Linked DNA regions of Oryctolagus cuniculus. The protein of the gene in region 4 purifies or fractionates together with the protein of the main gene of each other region. This does not show direct contact. Links are inferred from orthologs where the notes say so. Each region holds a gene or a part of one and is shown on either strand. Other genes may lie near its edges.

Evidence for each region.
Region 1: the proteins of HDAC4 (region 4) and TBL1XR1 purify together in Homo sapiens (affinity purification with mass spectrometry; 3 studies listed by BioGRID and IntAct, with this or other methods). This does not show direct contact. The link is inferred for Oryctolagus cuniculus from reciprocal best matches to the Homo sapiens genes HDAC4 and TBL1XR1.
Region 2: the proteins of HDAC4 (region 4) and PPP2R1A purify together in Homo sapiens (affinity purification with mass spectrometry; 3 studies listed by BioGRID, with this or other methods). This does not show direct contact. The link is inferred for Oryctolagus cuniculus from reciprocal best matches to the Homo sapiens genes HDAC4 and PPP2R1A.
Region 3: the proteins of HDAC4 (region 4) and PPP2CA purify together in Homo sapiens (affinity purification with western blotting; 3 studies listed by BioGRID, with this or other methods). This does not show direct contact. The link is inferred for Oryctolagus cuniculus from reciprocal best matches to the Homo sapiens genes HDAC4 and PPP2CA.
Region 5: the proteins of HDAC4 (region 4) and SIN3A purify together in Homo sapiens (affinity purification with western blotting; 3 studies listed by BioGRID and IntAct, with this or other methods). This does not show direct contact. The link is inferred for Oryctolagus cuniculus from reciprocal best matches to the Homo sapiens genes HDAC4 and SIN3A.
Region 6: the proteins of HDAC4 (region 4) and HIF1A purify together in Homo sapiens (affinity purification with western blotting; 4 studies listed by BioGRID and IntAct, with this or other methods). This does not show direct contact. The link is inferred for Oryctolagus cuniculus from reciprocal best matches to the Homo sapiens genes HDAC4 and HIF1A.

What each region holds. Positions count from the first base shown.
Region 1 is NC_091435.1:102,717,847-102,722,025, reverse strand, and holds the start of TBL1XR1 (F-box-like/WD repeat-containing protein TBL1XR1), read right to left. Parts: upstream 2,801-4,179; 5' UTR 2,662-2,800; intron 2,367-2,661; exon of another isoform or gene 1,837-2,366; intron 1,698-1,836; exon of another isoform or gene 1,543-1,697; intron 1-1,542. UniProt on the Homo sapiens protein: F-box-like protein involved in the recruitment of the ubiquitin/19S proteasome complex to nuclear receptor-regulated transcription units. Plays an essential role in transcription activation mediated by nuclear receptors.
Region 2 is NC_091449.1:6,437,523-6,441,022, reverse strand, and holds part of PPP2R1A (serine/threonine-protein phosphatase 2A 65 kDa regulatory subunit A alpha isoform), read right to left. Parts: intron 2,753-3,500; coding exon 2,520-2,752; intron 1,772-2,519; coding exon 1,624-1,771; intron 1,518-1,623; coding exon 1,362-1,517; intron 1-1,361. UniProt on the Homo sapiens protein: The PR65 subunit of protein phosphatase 2A serves as a scaffolding molecule to coordinate the assembly of the catalytic subunit and a variable regulatory B subunit.
Region 3 is NC_091437.1:22,493,193-22,495,559, forward strand, and holds the end of PPP2CA (serine/threonine-protein phosphatase 2A catalytic subunit alpha isoform), read right to left. Parts: intron 2,339-2,367; coding exon 2,220-2,338; intron 1,308-2,219; coding exon 1,235-1,307; 3' UTR 501-1,234; downstream 1-500. UniProt on the Homo sapiens protein: Catalytic subunit of protein phosphatase 2A (PP2A), a serine/threonine phosphatase involved in the regulation of a wide variety of enzymes, signal transduction pathways, and cellular events.
Region 4 is NC_091434.1:1,604,491-1,607,990, forward strand, and holds part of HDAC4 (histone deacetylase 4), read left to right. Parts: intron 1-1,649; coding exon 1,650-1,781; intron 1,782-3,061; coding exon 3,062-3,177; intron 3,178-3,500. UniProt on the Homo sapiens protein: Responsible for the deacetylation of lysine residues on the N-terminal part of the core histones (H2A, H2B, H3 and H4).
Region 5 is NC_091443.1:108,521,641-108,525,722, reverse strand, and holds the start of SIN3A (paired amphipathic helix protein Sin3a), read right to left. Parts: upstream 2,801-4,082; 5' UTR 2,778-2,800; intron 2,679-2,777; exon of another isoform or gene 2,654-2,678; intron 1-2,653. UniProt on the Homo sapiens protein: Acts as a transcriptional repressor. Corepressor for REST. Interacts with MXI1 to repress MYC responsive genes and antagonize MYC oncogenic activities. Also interacts with MXD1-MAX heterodimers to repress transcription by tethering SIN3A to DNA.
Region 6 is NC_091451.1:8,816,850-8,820,842, forward strand, and holds the start of HIF1A (hypoxia-inducible factor 1-alpha), read right to left. Parts: upstream 2,801-3,993; 5' UTR 2,702-2,800; coding exon 2,667-2,701; intron 1-2,666.

The DNA.
Region 1 (4,179 bases), on a different chromosome or scaffold from region 4:
TATGCTGCATTGCTATATACGAACTGATGTATTTATTCAACAGGTTGACATTCAGAAGAGCCGTTAATTACATCTCCTTTTATCAGGAACCCCTATGTTTACGTTCGGCATCTGCCTTTGTGCAAAGCTTGAAAAGCTCGCAGTGCACAGGAAGCAGTTACTTCTTACTGTTGCTGGACGGATAGCATGGTAATCACCCAAAAAGCTTAATTAGGTGTTGAGAACACAAGTATCAAAGAGATTCCTGGACCTATGTAAAAAATTATTAACATGTTTTTAACACTTCCATGATGCAACCGATGCAAAAATACCATCTCCACAAGGGGCCACTCCATTTACCATCAGCGTCTCCCATGTTAATAACCAAAGCTGACATCTGTTAAAAGAAAATGTCTTACAAACTGCCGGTGAGCTTGGCAACAATTTTTAAGACACTAACACGCCACTTGAGTCCATTCTCACAAGAAGAAAAACTTTTTCCATGCACACATTGTTTTCATCCCCCATAGAGTGTACTACTTTCTCCTACACAGGACTGATTCTAACTACTTCAAACGGGGGGGGGGGGGGGGGGGATTGGCACTTACTTGTAACTCTAATGATTGCAATTACATACATCACAGTACAGGACAGCAAAACTCAAAACAAAAAATTGAGACTCCAAACAAGCAGGAAAAACTCCATTTATGAGCAAAAAGTATAAACACACATCACATGCCTAATGGCTCTCAAGCCTATTTTCTTTCTGCTGCCCCTCCCCCATAGGTAAGTGCTAACTATTTCTAGAACTCTCAATGACAATTTGGGAAGCTTGCCATCAACTCCCATGATACAATCCAACATTCACGATGTTTTCATGGAGACAAAGCTGCCCTACTTCTCCAGACTATAAACTTATTAAAACGGTGAGAGAACACGCAGTCCCAGAAAGCCAAGATTACTAAAATACACCAATGTAACATGGGTCTCATTTAACAAAAAATGAAAAATGAATCACATTGCGAAACCCCCCCCCCCAAAAAGTCACTCACTGTCTTCACCGTGTAACCAGGATATTTACTTCAAGTTGTTTTAGGCTAAGAGGCTAAAAACACCACGAGGCCCTTATGGTCTCCAAACTGGAGGAGGGCTCTTCAGGAAAAAAAAAAAAAAAAAAGGAGGAAGATGATTACTTAATGATGGAGGGGGAGGGGAAGGAGCCTCCAGTCTAAAAACCTAGAACTAAAAATAACCCACCATATTTTATTAACAAGATGTTTAGATGAGCATAAGGTTCTTGTTTGGAAAACAAGAAAGCCAACAGTAGTAAACTTCCCTAACTCGACTGCAAATCGCATAGGTACTAAAACTCTTAACCTCTGGGTCCTGCACAGTCCAAGCAAGATCTCAAGCAAACTCCAGCCGCCGAGAAAATCCGATTTTTAACTAGGCTGCAACACTTCTCTCTCAGATTCACCCATTATTTTTACAAATTGTCGGATAACCTAACAAAGAGCATTTTTTTTAAAAGCCACGACGACCCAAGTTTTCCATGAAACACACCATTTTCACAGGCTGAACTGAATCCCGGTCGCCACTGCAAGGCGATGCCCGCTTCAGCAAATTAGGAACTTCCAAAAAAACGCCGAACACGTTAACACACGCATGGCTTCCCTCGGGCTGCCACCGTGAAGATTAATATTTCACTTCAAGAAAAAGTCTTGTTTTCTGTTCAAAAAAAAAAAAAAAAAAAAACGACCTCGCCTGCAAAGAGGAAGTTCCCGAGAAACCACCCTCTCACAACGTGGCCTCTCCACTGTCAGAAAACACTGGCACTCGGTGCCACCCGAAACTTACCAGGAAGCTGGCAACAACTTTGCCAATTCTACACTTCTGAACCCAACTTCAAAGGGGCTCCACCAAACAGCTCCCGCCGCCGGTGGGAAGCACCAAGTGACCAACCACCGCGTCCCGGAGCGAGGCCCTGCGGCCGCCCGCCCCTCCCCCAGCCGCCGGCGCCCCCGCCCCGGACGCGCGGCCCCAACGACCGTCCGCAGCCCCCCGCACGCCGGCCGGGGGCTCGGGCCGCGCCCGCCCGGGGGAGCCGCTTCCCATGGCTGCCTGGGCTTCCACACAAAAATCGCGTGCATCGAGAGGAGCCGTCTCCTCGGCTAAAAATAGGCTATAAAGGAGTCGGCCTCATGATGGCTCCTTGATTCAATTTGCTGCAAATTCTTTCCTCAAAGCCTCCCCCCACCCGGCGCGCGCACACACACACACATATACACACACATACACATATACACATACACACAAAAAGGGGGTGTCGGTGCACGGAGGGGGAAGGGGCCAGCAGGCCCGGGTGCCCATTTTCGGGGCCAACGACAACATAATTAGGGTGAGGATCCCCCCCGAGACCCAGGGAGGGTGGGGGGGGTGGGCAGGCACGTGAGCATTTCAAAGGCGCCAGGGAGAGCCAAGGCGGGGGGATGGGGCACCCTAAATGCCCTCCCTCCCCTCCCCCACCCGAGCCCCAGCTCCCCCAAGGGCCCAGTGGAAAAACGCATGTTCCCCCTAGCGCCCATCCCCCCGCGGCCCGGCGCCCCCCGGCCGCCTCCGGCCCGCGGCCCCCCGCCCGGCCCGCGGCCGCCCCCACTCAGGGGTCCGGCCCCCGGCGCTTACCTGGAAACGGTGGCCTCCAACGCCGCTCCCCCCCTCCCGGGAATGGAGGCACAAGGAAACTCCCCTCGTCGCCGCCGCCGCCGCCGCCACCGCCTCCAACCACCCCCAAAATAACCCCTCCGGGGGGTGAGAGGCAATTATAACCCCGGCGAGCGCGGGGCGCGGGGGATGGGCGCCGGCGGGCGGGGGCGGGGAGCGCGGCGCGGGTCCCCAGGTGGCGAGCGGAGGTGCTCCCGCCGCGGGGGGAGGGGCGGGGGCGCACGCGGCCGGCGGCGGGGGGAGGCGGCGCGCGGGGGAAGGGCGCGAGCGGGGAGAGGAATTGAGGCAGAAGGTAAAAGCTGTTACTAAGGGAAAGAGCCAAACGGTTCGGAGCAGCCAACGGCTCAGACACTCAACACTGGGGAGAGAGGAATGGGGACCAGCCAGGCACAAATGAGCTCGCGAGGCCCGCGGCGGCGGCGGCGGCGGCGGCGGCCGCGCAGCAAAACAAACCCGAGCGGCCTGCGCCGGGCGGGCGCGCGGGGGAGGGGCCGGGGGGAGGGGCGCGGGGAAGCGGCGGGGGGGGGGGCGTCCGCGGGCCGCGCTCCTCTCCCTCCCGGCTCTCGGCGGCGGCGGCGCTGGGGGCTGGGCGAGTGCGGCGCATTCTTTTAAAAAAGAAAGCCGGCCCCGCGGGCGCTCCGAGGCGCCTCCGGGCGCGGGCGGCCCCGCCCCGCCCCCACCGCCGCGCTCGGCTGAGGGCCGCTGGGTGTAGGCCGCGCGGCCGGGCCGGGGCCGGGGCCGGGACCCGGGCCCGGGCCGGCCGAGTTTCCTGGGCGGCCGGCGCGGCGCACACGCTGCGGGCATGTGCGGGAGCGCGGCGCAGGCCTCGTGTGGACATTTGCTGAGGAAGGGCTAGCGCTAGTGCACACCTTTGTGTGCGTCAGTGCATATGTTACTGGGAAGCGTACCTGCACAGGGGCTCTAAGCTGTAAGAAGCGGTTTTCCGAGTGGAATCCGGAGCACGGGCTCTGCAGAGCGAACAGTCGCACACCGGGAGGGGTTTCTGATACTAAACACAGGGCTGTGATTGCAGTGTTTGTGCCCAAATGGACTGTGCGTCAAGCATATGGTGGTATTTATCGTCTGGTGGGCCTGTGGCAGAGGTTGGGTCCATCAGTTCGCATCTCACGAGAATAAAATCACGCTGCCCGGTGTGGACTAAATACGTGCCTCTACCGCAGCCTGCACGGTGGAAGTTCAGGCCCTGCGCGCACTCGGTGCGTGTGTGCTGTGGCGCATCAGAGGCGGCGATCGAACTGGAACTGAGGTGGCTGATACCGCGATAATAGGATGGAGGCAGGGAGTGCGGCGGGCTCTTTTTGAAAAGGGAGGCACCTCACCGCTATGAAAGCCAACGTGGTGTTCATCTTTCAGAGACTCTGAGAAAACAGGCCTGGGAGGTGCTCTTAGACCTCAGTATAAGCCGAGGACATAAAAAGCAACCACTCTAGTGATGTTAAAAAAAAAAAAAGACTTCAA
Region 2 (3,500 bases), on a different chromosome or scaffold from region 4:
AGATGTCCCCAAGAGCTGGGGTTTGGACAGGACAAAGCCAGGAACTCCATCCAAGTCTCCACATGGGTGGCAGGGACCCAAGTCCTTGGGCTATCATCTGCTACCTGCCAGGTAGCGGGAAGCTAGATCAGAAGCACAGAGTAGCCAGGAGTTGAACTAGGTCCTCTGTTATGGAAGCAGGCATCCCAAGCAGTGGCTTAACCTGCTGAGCCACAATTCCTACTCCCTTACTTTTTGATTTATATTTGTTTCTATTTTTTTAAGATCAGTTAACAGAAGCACAAGTTAAGTTGAATAACTCTAATCCCAAAATCCAGAATGTTCCAAAATTCAAAGCTTTTTGAGCACAATGTGATACAAGTGGAAAATTCCATATGAGGGTGCAGGGGCCCAAGCACTTGGGCCATCTTCTACTGCTTTCCCAGGCCATAGCGGAAGCTGGATCGGAAGTGGAGCAGTCAGGACTCGAACCAGCGCCCATGTGGGATGCCGGCACTGTAGGTGGCAGCTTTACCAGCTGCACCACAGAACCGGCCCCCACTTTACTAATAAAGTTCCCTTGAGTTGACCTTCCCCTGTATAACACCTGCCCCTGAAGGCCAGGAATGTGGTGAATTCACTGCACCCCTCAGAGCTCAAAGACCTGCTGCTCCCCAAACATGTTTGAGCACTGCCCTGGGAGAGTCAGAGACTCTCTTTTGTAAGAGGAGGAAAAGTGAGGTCGGTGTTATGGTGTAGCAGGTTAAGCCACCATCTGCAGTGCTGGTATCCCATATAGGTGCTGGCTAGAGTCCTGGCTGTTCTACTTCTGATCCAGCTCCCTCCTAGTGTGTCTGGAAAAGCAGCAGAAGACAGCCCTAGTGTTTGGGCCCCTGCATCCAAGTAGGAGACCCAGATGAAGCTCCTGGCTTCAGCCTGGCCCAGCCCTGGTCACTGAGGCCATTTGCGGAGTGAACTAGCAGATGAAGATCTCTCTCCTCTCTGACTCCCCCTCTCTCTCTGTAACTCTAACACTCAAATAAATAAATAAAACTGTAAAAAGAAAAAAAAAAAGAGAGAGAAGGAAAAAGCTCTACTAGGGCAGGAACGCTCTCCACAGGCTACCCGTTCCCTTCTCTGCTCTGGTGGCTCTTCCCTGGGTCTGAACATAGCTCCAGAATTTTCAGCAGGAATTTAAGCTGTCACATAAATTAACCAGGGCTGGCAAATGCAATGAGATCCAACTGGATGATCACAGAGATGTCACTGCTTAAACACTTGATGATTCCACTGGCTCAGCTCCTTTACCCAGCCCTGCCCCTGGCCCTCTGAGGGCCTCAGGGTCCCCACCTGTGGGACAATGTCCACGGCCTCTCACTTACCTCTGTGAACTTGTCTGCCACCATGTAGCGGACACGCCAGGACTTGTCCTCAGCAGCCTGGCGCAGGGTGGGCATCACCAAGGCCTCCAGGTCCTCCTGGGGCAGGAGCTGGGCAATGTTCACGCACGCCTCCACTGCCAACAGCCGCACCGAGTCCTGGGGAGATCAGGGCACAGGGAGGGCAGCAGAGGCCCTGCTGAGCCCTGGGAGTCCCTCTGAGTGCACGGTCGGCCAGAGGGGAGGGCCAGGGAACAGAGCTCACCTGCTCGTCAGAGGCCAGGTTGGAGAACATGGGGATGATCTCACTCTTGACATTGTCTAGCTCCAGCACCTTGGCGAACTCCCCCAGCTTGGAGGCTGCGGCCCGCCGCACCATGGGGGTGTCGTCTGAGCACAGGTTCCGGAAATACCTGGGATTGCAGGCAGAACTCAGGAGGGGGAAACCCTGGGAATTCCAAGGCAGCAGGCAGCAGAGTGGCAAGGTGCCTCTAGGGTCCTGGCTTTGCTGGGTGGAGCTGTGAGCAGCAGCACCTACCCCACAGAGCCGTCAGGTTAAATCAGGTAGCATGTGTGAGACACTCAGCAGCCTTCCAGCACATAATAATGCTACCAGGTAACAATCAGAAAACTGCCAAACCGGAAGTGCTGCCCTAAGTCAAACCGAGAGGCTATCCTTAAACACAGCTGCTGGACACGCATGGGTAAAGGGAGGTAACTCAGCACACAGGTCCCACTGGAAACCAAAACTCTGGAGTGAGTGACAGTTCAGGGCCTGGGCCTGAGGTTCAAGATCCTGGGAGAGACCTGGGTAGGCCTGACATGGAGATGGCACATGTGCCAAAGGCTGTGACCTAGGGTTGGCCCAAGGTAACACCAGACATCACTGGTTGAGTGTTTTGTGTGCCAGATTCCATCCAAATCACTTCATGTGCTCATTTTATTAAAATGGGAAGAAGGCACTCCCACTGAGACAGAGCCAGGGTTGATGCCACACCCCCAAGGGCACGCCTCTCTGGGGACCGGTGAGGTGGAGTGGGAGCTGGGAGCACTCCGGGCAAGTGAGCCAGGGCGGACCTAAAGGGGCTGAGGCTTTAAGGAAGGGAACCAAGCTCAGCGGTGGGAGGGCCAGGGCTTCCATGGGGCAAGAGCAGGACTTACTGTCGAAGTTCCGCCTTGACGGCACTGGACACGCGGGGGTAGCAGACAGAGAAGAGGCCACAGGCGGAGGTGCGGGAGGTGAACCAGTCGCCGCCCGCCAGCCTCTTCACCAGTGGCACGAAGTGGGCCTCCAGGTCGGAGGGCGAGTGCTCGTGTGAGATGGCCCGCAGGGACTCCACCGCCTTGTCCCGCACCACCGTCTCCTCCACCGTGGCCAGTGACTCCAGGGGTGGCTGTGAGGAGAAGGAGACCATCACACACTCGCTCCCCACCACACGTGGTCCTGGACTCCCACCCAGACCGTGCTCCCTCCTGGTGCATCTCCCTGCAGATCCCCAATCACTCCGTGCCAGCCTTCACCCAGCCTTCCGTGAAAGCTCTCAGCTCCTCATAAACCTTTGTACGTGTGCCGTTTCCTGAGGAGAGGCCTGTCTACCCTTGGCTTCTCTAAGTGCACGACTCATCACTGATGCTGACGGGAACCTCTACCCCACGCTCAAAGCAGGGCCACCATGTCACAGCCCCCAGGGCTGGTTCAGCTCACAGGATCTCAGGAAGCAGGTCCCTTTAGCGTCCTCACTTCAAAGAGGACAGTGAGGCAAAGACAAGCTGAGCACTTTGCCCAAGCCAGGAACAACTTCAAGTCAGGACCTAAACCCACTCACTTGGCTCAGAGGCTCCGCAGTCTGGCCTCTAACACAGTTCTGCTGACTGTAACAAGATCTCACGTGACTCTGGGGCCCTGGGTAACTGCTTACTGGTGTGTTACCGGAGATTCTGGGGGGCGGGGACATCTGACTGGCTGCCCACTTTGCCCCAAAGCCCAGCAGGGCTCCTAGCATAGGGCAGGAATGCAGCAATTCCTGACCTAATGGAGACTCAATTTATGCTACAATGTTCAACTAAAGTTGTGCAGGGCTCTGGTCTGAAATCCAGCTTGGCTGGGGAGGTATTTAAGGCAGAAAGAAGGTACAATGGGAA
Region 3 (2,367 bases), on a different chromosome or scaffold from region 4:
CACTAAACCATGACCCAACAATAATTTTCTATGCGGTTTCACTAATACCATTTAAAAGAACTTAACAAGTTAGTACGTTAATAGCTTTCTGAGACAAATTTAAGATCAAGAAAGTCCACAAATAATGTACAAATATTTGTTAAAAACGAACCAATCTGCCAACCATTTTCAAGAGTTCATATAATACATACAGCAAAATATTTATAACCAGAAACCGCAGTGCAGATACACCCTTAATTTGTTAAGTTTTACTCCAAAATGAAATCAACTTGCATGATTTCGTCTTACTAAAGCAGTGCACATTTTCTTTCATACAGACCAGTTAACATACAGGAGGAACCCACAAAGAGCCCATCAGTGATCTGACAAACTGTATTACACGGAACACAAATAAAGCCGGAAGTTAATCTGAAGAATATGAAGGCGTTATCAGAGATTATGCAGTGGCCTTGATTTTTATTTTTCTTTACCTAGAATTCTACAAATTTATCAATTATCTTTTTTAATAAACAGCACCAATCTTGCCCATTGATACAATTAAAATCTGACTTTCTCAGTTCTTAGTTCACAAGTTTATTATGAAAAACACTGCAGTGCCCTTGTGCAGTAACATCATCTTACAAGACGGGAGGGAGGGACAGTTCTGTTCAAAACAACTCACCAGGTTCTGACAATAACAAAGAACAACACAGGGGTGAGATCTGAGAAAGGAATAAACCGAGTGCAGACAAATCATACAATTAAATTAAATGGTATCCCTGAAAAGAAACAAAACGATTTCAAAACTCACAAGTAGAGGGAGGCCTTGGTACTTATTTTTAAAAATGTTCATTAAGCTCCAATGATTGTTTGCTGCTATCCTTATCTACAGTCATGCTGAGTAAAGCTATAGCTAAATGGAAGTTATTGTATTCACGAGGCGTTAATGTTTACATCTTATTATCTGCAGTCTCTCAGAGAAAGCAAAAGTAACTACAAATAGCGCTATGCCAGAAACTGGTTTCTTGACCAACAATGTCGCTTCAGCATGCAATGAACTGGTTCATTCTAAAGTGGTCACGGCTGTTGATGACAAGAGGCTTTGTATTTTTATATGGCACATCTTTTGGTCCGTGTGAAAACAAGTTTTTTGAAGGTTAACTATTTTTCTGACACTCTGGAGTTACTGTTGCTCTTCCCATTTCCATCAGGTCACATATGGTTCATGGCAATACTGTACAAGTTTAAAATTTCATTACAGGAAGTAGTCTGGGGTACGACGAGTAACATGTGGCTCGCCTCTACGAGGAGCTGGGTCAAACTGCAAGCTGAAAAACAAGAGATTCCTTGTTTACATTCTGACAGCCATGCACTAGCAATCCAAATCACTGGCATTCATTTTTAAACATTACATTTTTTTCCTATTCCATTCTAGGTCAGTCTCATGTAACAGGAGCTTACCTATACCTAAATCATGCAGTCAAAAGAGCTTCTAACTGCACTTTCCTGCAAAGAGCCCGGGCAACTTCAGCCACAAAAATGATGCTTTTACAAACTATGGTTCCTGGGGCTGGAGCTGTGGCGCAGAGGGTTAACGCCCTGGACTGAAGCACCGGCATCCCCCCTGGGATGAAAAGTCTGGGCTGCTCTACTTCCAATCCAGCTCTTTGCTATGGCCTGGGATAGCAGTAGAGTATGGCACAAGTCTTTGGGCCCCTGCACCCTTGTGGGGACCCGGAAGAACCTCCTGACTCCTGGCTTTGGATCAGCACAGCTCCATCCATTGCAGCCAATTGGAGAGTGAACTAGCAGCTCAAAGACCTTTCTCTCTCCCTCTCTCTGCCTCTCCTCTCTCTGTGTAACTCCGACTTGCAAATAAGTAAATATTTTTAAAAAATTTATAATTTTCCTAAGAACAATATTCCTTAAGAGTGGGTTTCTGCTTAAAAAAAAACAAAAAACAAAAAACAAAAAAAAAACTAGGGTTCCTGCTAAGATGGTTTGAGAGACTGCCAACTAAATAAACTTTAATGCAACTAAAGAACTGTATCTTAAAAGTTAAAACTCTAATAATTCATATTATGATCTGTGTACAATATATTAGTTTCTACTGTACTGTTTCAATATATTATAAGTCCCAAGAAGAAGTTAAAATTTAACATGATTGTACAAACCCTTAAATGTCCCAGTAAAACCAAATATTCAGTAATGGCGATGAAACACTGGGCGTGAACACTTACAAAGAGTATTTTAGAGTGTCATCAAGTTCCATGATTGCAGCTTGGTTACCACAGCGGTAACAATAGTTTGGAGCACTGAAAATTGTTACTACATTTCGGTCATGGCACCAGTTATATCCCTAAATGGAAAAGAAATTAAAATCAACTT
Region 4 (3,500 bases):
CCCGCTAAAGCCACAGCCTGACTTGTCGTGTGAACCTGTCAGTGCACCCCAGCCCCGCCCCCCTGTCACCACGCCCTGCCTTGAGGCTCCTCCCTGGGCCCATCAGCGTGCTCCCCCACTCACCTTGGCTGTGCACGTCTCCCAGCAGTCCACGCAAGTCCTGCGTGGAGGGAGCGTTTTGGAAGCCACGCGTGCTGGCAGATCTCTGTTCCGACATCCAGGATTGGCCGAGGGTTTGGGGGGAAGGAGCCCTCCGGAGCATTCTGGCATCGAGCCCCATTCTTTGTCCCCAGAACTGAGCCGAGAGCTCCCAGCCGCGAGGGTCTCCTGGCGCCGCTCCCCCAGACAGGACGCTTCTGCGCGGCTCCGCTGGGACCCCTCGCTGGGACCCGTCGGCGCTTCTGACCCGGGGCTTCGCGGATTGGGCGTGGGACCTTCGCCCTGTCTCTCTCCCTTTGAAGGCAGCAGCTTTGCACTCAGGGCTCGGCCTCTAAGATCTCCCTCCCCGTCTCCACGGGACGGCCGGGAGGAGCCGCCGCGAGCCTTGGCCTTTGCCCTGGCGATGCCCTCGGCGGCCCGTTGCGGACTCACAGCCCTTCCCCCAGGGGCTCCGGGCCCAGAGCAGGGCCCCCGTGCCTCAGAGCCCACCAGCCCTTCGCCGAGGCTGCCTGGTGTTTTGCTTCTGCGCTGTCAGCCGTGGGCCATCTCACGAGGCAGCCTACGGAGGGGCTGCTGTGTGGAACGGCGGGTTCATCTGCCCGTCAGCGCCGGTGTCCACATCACGGTGTTGGTGCAAGTCCCGTCATCCACTGCCGACCCGGGAAGACGACAGATGGTGACCCGAGTGCTCTGACCCTGCTGCTTATGTGGGGGACCCGGGTGGAACTCCTGGCTCCTGGCTCCTGGCTTTGGCCTGTCCAGACCTGGCTGCTGTGGCCATTTGGGGGGTGAACGAGTAGATGGAAGATCACTCTGTTCATTCTGTCACTCTGCCTTTCACGTAAGTAAATTTTTTTTAAGTTTTTTTTTTATTTATTTATTTGACAGGTAGAGTTATAGACAATGAGAGAGAGACAGAGAGAAAGGTTTTCCTTCCGTTGGTTCACCCCCCAAATGGCCGCTACGGCCAGAGCTATGCGGATCCAAAGCCAGGAGCCGGGTGCTCCACGTGGGTGCAGGGCCCAAGCACTTGGGCCATCCTCCACTGCCTTCCTGGGCCACAGCAGAGAGCTGGACAGGCGGAGGATTAGCCAAGTGAGCCATGGCGCCAGCCCCGTAAATTAATGTTTTAAAGTGTATGGTTCAGGTAATATTGTTCATGGGCCTCAAGTCATCCCTTGTTTGTCATTTTCCCAGATCTTGGAGCAGCACTGCTTTAAAGATATGGGTACATTGTTTAGGAGAATATTACGTGAGAGATGTTGCCTTTATGCTGCTGGCACACCTCGCCCGTTCCCCGTCATGACCACTAAGTCAGACGTCACCCACACGTGGGGACTCCGTGTCCACACAAGTGCAGCCCACGCTCCCGTGTGCCTGCCTGTCACTGCCAGCAGATGTTGCCCACAGTGCGTGTCGCTGAACTGCCCGCAAGATGCCCGTGAATCCAGCTGGCCCGCATGTCGTAACCACATCTCCTGTGTGTGCAGCTTCTGAACCCAACTTGAAACTGCGGTCCCGGCTCAAGCAGAAAGTGGCCGAGAGGCGGAGCAGCCCCCTGCTGCGCAGGAAGGATGGGCCAGTGGTCACCGCTCTCAAAAAGCGTCCGTTGGATGTCACAGGTATGGCGGGTGCGTGGGCGCCTGTGTCACCGCAGCTGTTCCCGGAGCCTCTGGACACTCAGTCTGCCTGACATGCTTGGCCACGTGCAGTCCTGGGCCCCTCGTGCCAGGTCCGCAAGGCCTGGCCACCCAGGCTCGGCGACCCGGAGTCCCTCGCCAAGTCCCTGCTCCAGCGCCAGCTGCACAGCGCTGCGGTTTCCCGGGCAGCACCAGGGCAGGGCTGTGAGCTGGTGCGGCACTGTGGGCATGTCTGCAGGGGCTGGGTGGGTCTCCCCTGCCCCGGCGGTGGTGAACCGGTGTTCCTGCCCGCTCACCGCCCCCCTGCTCCGTGGTCGCAGTCAGAGTCACTGGACGGTCCTGGAGTCTTCTCCCGCCAGTGCACCGTGCCTGAGCACAGGAGAAATTGCGGTGTAGCCCGCGGAAGACCTGCTGCCACCGCGGCAGCGCCCCCTGGTGGTGCACTCCCGGAATGTTCCAAGCATGCAGCTCGCATTGCCCTTCCTTTGGAAACTTGGCCCCAGGTGCTGCTGTTACTAAGCAGCCATTAAACCCAACTTCAGAAGCCTGGAGCCTTGTTAACATTGAGAGCCACAGAGACCTCGGCTGCGTGGCAGCAGCAGTAGTGGCTGCCGTGGCCAAGAGAGGGAGCTTGGTGCTGAGTGTGGCTTCCCCGGCCACACGGCTCTCGCTGGCACCGGGGCTGAGCCGCTCCGAGGGCGAAAGGCTCCTTACGCTTGTGGACCGCAAGGACAAAGCCCAGACGCCGCTGGCTGCGTCTGCGCCCGCACCTGGTGCTGTGCTGCACACGAGCTCAAGTTCAGAGCGCCAGCAGCGGGCGGCCTGGTTTCGAAGTGAGTTTTTCTGGAGAGCGCAGTGCATGTGACCTTTCACCGCTCAGTCATTTGCTCTGTGCTTCCTGGTCTTCTGTGGTTAGAACGTGGCGGTGGCTGAGAGCTTATCTCCCTGGGACTTGAATAGCTCCTGCAGTTCAGGAGGCAGACGACGGCTCCCCGTGTGTATCCTGAGCCCCTGACGGGGCTTGCTGGAGCGTGAGCTCCGCAGACTCATGCGGACAGCAGGGCGGGCCTGAGACTCGGGGCGCTGGCCGCAGGCTCCCTGTGCAGAAGCACAGGCGTGTCCCTCCTGTCGGGTTTCCACAGTCCCAAGCCCACAGCAGGCGTCCCGGCAGGCCGGCGCCGCTGGGCTGCAGGTGAGCTGCGCCGTGCCCTGCGGGGACCCGTTGCTCAGGCCGCGCTCACCGGACGTTTCTGCCCCACCAGACTCTGCGTGCAGCAGCGCCCCGGGCTCCGGGCCCAGCTCGCCCAACAACAACAGCTCTGGGAACGTCAGCACGGAGAACGGCGGCGTGCCGGCCGCACCCAGCATCCCCACTGAGGTCAGTGCCGTGTCTGCTGCGTCGCGTTTGCTGCTGCCCTCCCCGGGGGCGACTTCAAGTGCCTGCCTGGCTCCCCCTGGGGCCGCGGGGTGTGTGCAGGAGTGGCCAGGCCACCGCTCTGAGCCCGACGTGGTGCCTGACCTCTTCCAGAGCGTGTTTCAGACGGCCTCATACCAGCCTGGGTGCCCACAGCGCCCTGGGCAGCAGCAGGGCCCTCCAGGAGGCCCTGGGTGCACGGGAACCCTTGCGGAGTGAGAGCGTTCATGGCTGTTGTGTGTTGAAAAAGCCACAAATTAACATGTCGACCAACAATCCACGGGTCG
Region 5 (4,082 bases), on a different chromosome or scaffold from region 4:
CGCTCACCCTCTCCACGCCCCTATTGGCGGGGAGCTTCCCTAACTCAACCCCGCCTATTGGAGACGGATTGCCGAGTCCCTCCCCCCAGCCGCAACACCATTGGCGGAAGCGGGGGAGCTCTTCTCGTCTCATTGGAGGACACCGCACGGCCCGCCCCGCGCCGTCTCAGCCACAGGCCGAGCAGGTCGGCTCCCGCCTCCGCCGGTCAGCGTTTCGGAAGGCTACCTCCGGCTCTCGGCGCCCCAGGAAGGCAGCCGCTGTGGGGCACAGTGTCCGTGCGGGACGCAGGCGCCTCCCACCTCACAGCCGCGCCGGGCCCGCCCCCGGCGATTCCGCCCCGCCGTCCTTTGGTGGAATGTTGACACCGAGACGAGCTCGGAGTTCCGGGGGCAGCGCCGGGGCCCGGGCGCCCCTCACCGCGAACCTCAGCCTCCGGCCTGGCGGTCGCACGCCGCCGCCTAGCAGCGGCCGGGGCAGAGCTGCGCCCACAAACCCGACCGGAACGGGCAGCCCTGAAAGCGGCCCGACGGCCACCGCCCTGGCCGCCTCGGGGGCAGAGCCAGCGGAGGAACCGAGGAAGGGACCGGAGTGGGCGGGGGTGCCTCGTGCGGTCAGACCCCTCTGGGCCGGGGTCCCGCGTGCAGAGACACCTTCTGGGCCGGGGTCCCGCGTGCGGTCAGAGACCCCTCTGGGCCGGACTCCCGCGTGCAGAGACACCTTCTGGGCCGGGGTACCGCGTGCGGCCAGAGACCACCTCTGGGCCGGGGTCCCGCGTGCGGTCAGAGACCCCTCTGGGCCGGACTCCCGCGTGCGGTAGAGACCCCTCTGGGCCGGGGTCCCGCGTGCGGCCAGAGACCACCTCTGGGCCGGGGTCCCGCGTGCGGTCAGAGGCCACCTCTGGGCCGGGGTCCCGCGTGCGGTCAGAGACCCCTCTGGGCCGGGGTCCCGCGTGCGGTCAGACCCCTCTGGGCCGGGGTCCCGCGTGCAGAGACACCTTCTGGGCCGGGGTCCCGCGTGCGGTCAGACCCCTCTGGGCGGGGGCTTCCCCGTGCGGTGAGGCCGGCGCGGCCGGCGTCCACCTCGGCCACCGTGGGCTCCTGGCAGTCCCTAGGTCCGCTCCGTGAAGGCTAAGCTGCACCGAGACCAGGTGCCGGCACACAGGGCATGGGCCCGCCGGTGGCCTTGCTTGGGGGGCGGGGCTCGGGGCTTCCCGCTCTCGCCCGCAGAGGGGACCCCAACACCGCCCTCCCTCCGCAGCCTCGGAGCGAGCTCCGGCAACAGGTGAGTGCCGGCTGCGAGCTGGGAACTGCGGGGAGCCGACCCCCCGGCGGGGGCGCAGCTCGGGCCCAGCCCCGCGCGCCGCGCCCCGACCCCGCGCCGGGGTCCCCTCCCGGCCCGCCGAGGGCAGCGGCTGCCGGCGTCCGCAGCGCTCTCGCGCGGAAACAGCCACGCCGCCGGGCCCGAACTTCAGAGCGCGGCCCCGGCCCGACGGACAGACCCTCGCCCGCAGAGCCCCCAGCGCCACCCGGAAGCCGCCGGCCGCGGGATGCCGGGCAGCCCAGCGCGCCTTCGCCACCCCCTCCCCCCGCGGGGCGCGGAGCCGGGACTTCCGGGCGGGAGGCACGCGAGCAGCGCGGCGGCCTCACACATGTGCGGGGCGCGCTCGCGGCCGAGGGCGGACTTCCCCTCCCGGCTCGCTCCGCCGGGGGCGGGGCCGCGCGCGCAGCCAATCAGGAGCGGGGGCGGGCCCTCGCGCCTCACGTAGCCGCAGGACGCCCCCCCCTCCGCCCTTCACGGAAAAAAAAAAAAAAAAACCCTAGCAACTTAAACTCCTGCCCGGCCTCCCTATAGGCGGAGCTCGAGATAATGTCAGCCAATCCGTGCCCGAGAAGCGAAAGAGGGAGTCCCGAGCAGCCAATGGAAGACAAGAGCAGGCGGGGCCCGCAAGGAGCCCGGGGCGGCGGGCGGCGAGGCGGCGCCCCGCCCCGCGTGTCCCCTGCGGGCCGCTTGCACAAGCCGCCGGCGGAGTCGGTAGTAAACAGTCTGGGCCGCGGCCGGAGGCCGGCCGGCCGGCCGGCCGGCCGGGCCCGCGCCCCCGCCCGGCGCCTGCGCCCCGCCTCCCGCCCGCTGATGCGTTTCCTCTTCCCGAGCGAGCGTGGAGACAGTTCCCCAGGTTCCGACCTTCACGGCCGCTCCGGGCGGCGAGGCGGCGGGGGGCGAGGGCGGCGGCCCCGGGCCGGGGGCGCCCGCGCCCCTCGTGCAAGTTTGCGCGCGCAGGGAAGCCGCGAGCCCGGCCCGCCCGGCAAGTCCGCGCGGAGGGAACTCCGGGCCGGCCGCCGCCCCCCGCCTGCCGGAGCGCGTCCGGTCGGCGCGCAGGGCCCCCCACCCACCTTTTTTTTTTTTTTTTTTTTTGCTGCTTTTCGTGTGTTTTTCTTAAAAAAAAAAAAAAAGGCGTGAGCGGAGCCGGAGACTCCTCCGGCTCGCCGCTCCCCAATCCGCCGCCGAAACCTACCGACACCGAGTGCTCGGCAACACTAGGCGGCGCGGCCGGCGCTGGCGCCCCCTCCCCACGGCTCGGCCCGGCCGGGAGACACAGTGGCGGGCGGGCGGGCGGCGCCGAGCGCCCTCCCTCCGGGCCGGCCCCTCGCCTACCTCGGCCGCGGGACTCCGAGCCGCCCCGGGGCCTGCGCGCCCGCTCTGCGTCGGGCCGGCCACGGCGAGCCGCCCCCCGGACGCGGGCCGGGGGCACCGAATTGAAAGCAGCTGTTTAACATACCTTCCGAGCCGGGCGAGGAGTGCTGAATGGGGAACGCCCCCCGCCGGCCATTGGCTCCGCGGCGCTGCGTCACGGCCGAGGGCCCGCCTCCGCGCTCGCCCCGCCCCTCCCTCCGGGAACCGTGCAAATAAATAAATTAGGCGAGCCCGGAGCGGAGGATCCCCGGTGCCGTCGCGGCGGCGCCTCGAGGGTCCCGGGCGGCGGGGCTCCGGGACGGCGGCCCGCCGTGCTGGGCGCCTGGAGACGAGGGGTGCGGGCGGGAAGCCCTGCGTGCAGCCCGGCGAGGGAGTCACCCCAGCCCTGGGGCGTGCGGGCGCGGTGGAGATGCTGCCGCAGGAGCCGAGGCGAGGCGGGAGTGTGCTCCCGCACAGACTGGCCGACTCCCGGGCGCTCCCAGGAGAGCCCTGCCGGCTGCAGGTAAGCCGGCGGAGCCGCGTGGAGGCGGCGGCGAGCCAGGTGGGTCTTAGGGGTTGCCCCGGGCAGAAGCGGAGGGGCAAAGGGCACGAAGGGACAGGTGGAAAGCGTGAGGACTGCGATGCTGGAAACCAGGGTGGCAGAGGTGGCCCCAAGCCGCGGGACGTCTCCTAGCTGGACCAAAAGCCGGTCGCAGGCCCAGGCCGGTGTGGTCGGGTGCTTAGCGCCCTAGCAGCCGGTGGGCTCTGGGGTGTGCCCAGTGAGGGGAGGGAGGCGCTGGGTTTGGTGGCTACAGTGCTGCGACGCCTGCCCTGCCTCTGCCCTGCCGCCCTTGCTCTGTTGGTCTCCATTGCCAACCGAAAAGAGTTTCCAGGGGGCAGGGCCACCCCGCAGGTCTGTGTTCAGCAGAGGCCGGATGCGCCTGGTGTGAGCGAGGGAGACCGGCTGGTCGGGGCTCGGAGGGATCCGTGCGGTGGGCCGGTAGTTCAGGCGGGGCACACTAGACCAGGGCACGGCCAGGGGATGCGTGCGAGCAAGAAAGGCGAGCAGTGTTGGAGAGACTCAGGGGAGAGGGCGGCTATTTGGAGTGGGCGGTGGGCGGCAAATGGAGCCAGCGGCCCTCGGCGGGGTGAGGCGGAGGAGCTCGGGGCTGGCGGAATTCGGCCCTGCGCTTCGCGTGGCCGTTGTCGGAGGCTTAAACGAGCTCCTGTCTCCCCTACCTGGGCCTGAGCCTCTCCACGAAACGGGGTGGGAAATGGAGCGGACAGGCTGCCAGCCGCCACCCCCACCCTCCGCCCCGGCCCCAGGGTCCACGTGGGAAGCTGGGCTGTAAGCAGAGAGGGCAGGTGGGGAGCCGCAGCTTTGGGGAGACCACGGAGGGGAGAGGAGGGG
Region 6 (3,993 bases), on a different chromosome or scaffold from region 4:
TTTGGAGATACAGAAAAGATGCATGAAGACAGAAGAGAAACTGAAAGAAATATTTGGAAGAACTTACAAAAAGCATTTTAAGGGTGGTGGAAGTTCAAACTTAAAGCTTAAACAGGTAACATTTACTAGGAAGTACACAAACTGTTACCAAGACTCCCCCATTCCCGACCCTGGGCTAAGTGTTCTACATGCATGATCTCATTTCCCATACATATTAACTGTTAAGATGGCTGCTTCTTATCATCAAAAGGAAAAGTTAGGCATGGACGCATTCAGGACTTGCCCAATTCACAAGTGGAAAGGCTGGCACTCTAACTCAGAGATTCAGGCCTCCAGCTTCTACACTCTTCATCTCTAGCCCTGCTGCTGTTATAAACAAGTCAAACTGCAACAACAAAAGTTTACTAATAAATGACTCTTAGTGGCCAAGGTTAAAAAAGAAAATTTAGAAATGTTTATTCTCAGAGATTTCACTACAATGCTCCAGTAATTATTTGTTTTGGAAAACTCTGAAGGAACCTGACCTGAAGCCTAAAAACAGAACCTCCTGCCATTCCTTTTGAATCTAAAAACCCCTATTATCCTTGTGCTCTCAGTAAGTCCAGCACCTACAACTAAGGAATCAACATGAAACTCCCTGTTAAATCTATTACAACCACACCACTCTGCTCTGATTTCTTTCAATTCTGATTTTCAGCTGCCTTGTCCTCCTCTAAAACTGGGAAAATTCCAAGAAGAAAATCTCCACCTCAATCTGTTACCTTTCAAAAACTTGAAGAAATATTAGTCAGGAAAGGGCATTTTTAATTAACATCATCCAAAAGTTGCTGAGTAATCACTATTTACTGTTTAACTTAAAATTTCAGTTATATTAAGAATCTCCATATTAAGTGTTACGACTACATTCGATCCCAGGTGGTTAAGTTTTCAAATGAGAAAATTTTGAAAATAACAATGGGAATGGGGAAAACCAAAGAATTCATTTAGCGCTGGGGCTGGTGCGCAGTAGTTGCTAATTTATTCACTCACTTATTTTACAGTGGCTTCTGGTATTAACTGAAGAATAGCAAAGAAGAAATCAGTAAAGTATTACATATAAAAAGGAAGTGACTGGTACACAACCTAATGCATTGTGGTAACTATGATTCAGTATATAATAAGGACGGAAAATTGGCACTACACAGAGGTAATCTGCCTTTGGTTTACAATATAGCAGCCTCTTCATTTCATCAAAAACACTGTAATCACTTCTGCAAAATTAATTGCAATTAATTCCTGGTTAACTCTTGAAATTAAATCTAGACTTGTGTGCTCATGTTTTAAATTGTGTAAGTGCTCTCTCCCCGGTGTATATAAACTGAGAATTTTACATTCTATTGAATAGGGACCAAGATAAAGAATCTACAAAACAGCAAGGATATAAACAAGTTTATCTTCCGCTCATACTGATTAGAGAAGTTAATCTCTCCCATAAGAGTGGAAGGACTTAACAGTAAAGCCAGCCTACGTTACTACTCCTACTATATAAATCCTCAATTCCTTAAAATAATTTCCTCAACGGTGAAAATACCAAAGTGGAGAAAATAGGGAGGGGGGTACTGTAAATACCACGGGTTCCACCATTCTTAATCTTTCTATAATGTACCCCTCTTACACTTCACGCTGTTCAATAAACTTGCTTTAAGTCCCAACACAATCTGGATATGTGCTGATGGTTTCCTTCAAATATATTAAAATATCAGGAAAACGAGACAGTTCTGAAAAAAAAAAAATCCTCCAACACTTTAGTGTTGCATTTCGTTTGCTCCGGTCATCTACTTCGCTTTTCAACCTCACTGACACTGTCTGCCTAAATCGAAGCCGCCCGTTACATTTTCACCAAGATATTTTCGGGAATGAATGAGGCACGGATTCCTGCTCATCGTCTGGGCTCCCTGGATCCCAAGTCTCCACTTCCCAAGTTCCCGCTACAGCCTGGCGATGTGCCCCCCAATTCCCGTTACTCCGACTCCCAAGTCTGGGCAAGTTTTTCCAGCCGATTAAAACAACAAAACGAAAAACAAAACCTGCACGTGCAAACTAAAAAGTTAGCATCCGAAGGCCGCCGCGGCCAATCCCCCCACCACGGCACAAAGGCAGCGACACCCGCCGCGGCGGGACCGCCGCAAGGGCCAGCCCAGCCGCGGCCGCCGGGGCCCCGCACCCGCCGGCGAGCCGCGGCCAGCGTGCGGGGCGCCCGGCCCGCGCCTTCCCCGCCACCGGGAGGGAGCGGAAGCTCCGGGTGCGAGCGGCGGCGCCGAGCTGCGGGCTCGGCTTCCAGGCTGGGGCGAAGTCCCCTCCGGACGGGGCCGCGCCGCAAGGCTGGGGCTCCGCGGCGGGCGCGGGGGGCGGCGCGAGGACCCCCGCAGCCCCGGCTGGGGGCGGCGGCGGCGGCGGCGTGCAGACCCCCGGCCCCCTGGAAGCACTTTCGAGGCGTCTCCCACCCCCCACGACAAGATGGCGACGTGGACAGCGGGGGAGCCCGGCCGGCGAGGTTGGGGGAAAGAGAGGGGAGGGGAGAGGAGGCAGAAACAACAAAAAAAAAGGCCGGGCGACCCCCGCCCGCCCAGCGACCCACCCCGGGAGCGCCGCGGCCCGGCGGGCGGGCGGGCGGGGAAGGGGCTTACTTTTTCTTGTCGTTCGCGCCGCCGGCGCCCTCCATGGCGATTCGGTCTCCGCGATGCCTTCCCGGCCGGCGGCCCCCAGGCTCGCTCCGGCCTAAGCGCCGGCTCCCTGCACACGCGGAGAGAGCAGAGCAAGTCCGGGTGGGGGCGGCGGCGGGGGAGGGGTGCGAGGCGGGAAGCTCCTCGCAGAGCAGAGCGGGGCGGCGAGCGCGGAGTCCGGCGCGAGCCTCCGCGCAGGCTGCTTGTCACGGCCCGGCCCGACGCGCTGGGCCCACTCGGCAGCGAGGACGGTCCTCGCGTCCCCTCAGACGAGGCGGCTCTGCGCTCGGCGGAGCTGAGGCAGCGGGCAGGGGGCGGGCAAGGGCGGAGGCGCGCCCGGCCGCGCGGGGAGGGGAGGGGCGGGGCGGGAGCGCGCGCCCCCGCCCCTCGCCTGCCCGCCGAGCCCAGCGCGCGCGCGCGCGCCCCCGCAGGCCCGCCTCACCTGAGGGGGAGGCGGGCTGCTCGGGAGCCAATGGCGAGCGACGCAGGCGGCCAGTGCCCACCCCAGCCCACGTCGCTCTCAGCCAATCCGGAGGCGCTCAGCTGAGGCACAGCTGGGACGCGCCGCGGCGCTCACGTGCCCGTCTGTGTGCGGCCGGGGCGGAGAGAAAGGCGTTGGGGGGTGCGTCTGCGCCGGGACTAGGGGGCACCCAGCGCCTGCCGCTGGGGACGGCGGCGGCGGGCTTGCGGGAGGCGCTGCTGAGGGGAGTTGGCGGCTGCCCGGGCCCGAGGTTGCATCACGTTTTCCCGCTCCCGCGCTCCCCTCAGGCGGCGTAGCCGAGTTCCCTGTGGGAAAGCGCAGCCCTGGCGGCTTGGGCGCGAGCCCCCCGGGTCTCCCCGCTCGGACGCGTTGCGGCGCGGCCTTCCTGCCAGGCTGCCCGCGCTCTGCCGCACGGCACGGGGGACCCCGCGGGGCCCCTGAGGCGTTCTGTCGCGAACTTGTTTAAGTTAATGCCAGGGAAAACCTCACAGACCCGTTGTTGCACGCCTCTCTCCGAGGAAGGAAGGTGTGAAGTTACTGTAGAAACGGCTTTCAGAAGCGAGAATATATAAACCTGCATTTCAGGGAGGGTCGGAAAAATGGCTTTAGGCACACTTTTCTTTGTGCTTTCTTAGCGCTTTTGCAAGACGATCTTGCGTGGATTCAGAAGAGTCTCCTTGAGTTGCGTTCGCGGTGTAGACCGAGTCCGGAACCCAGGCTGCCTCCGGGGCATGGGCCAGAGCCCGCCGGGTTGGAAGGAACCGGGCACGACGGTGCTGGCTAGCACTGCCTGTTTGCTGACAGGACTGC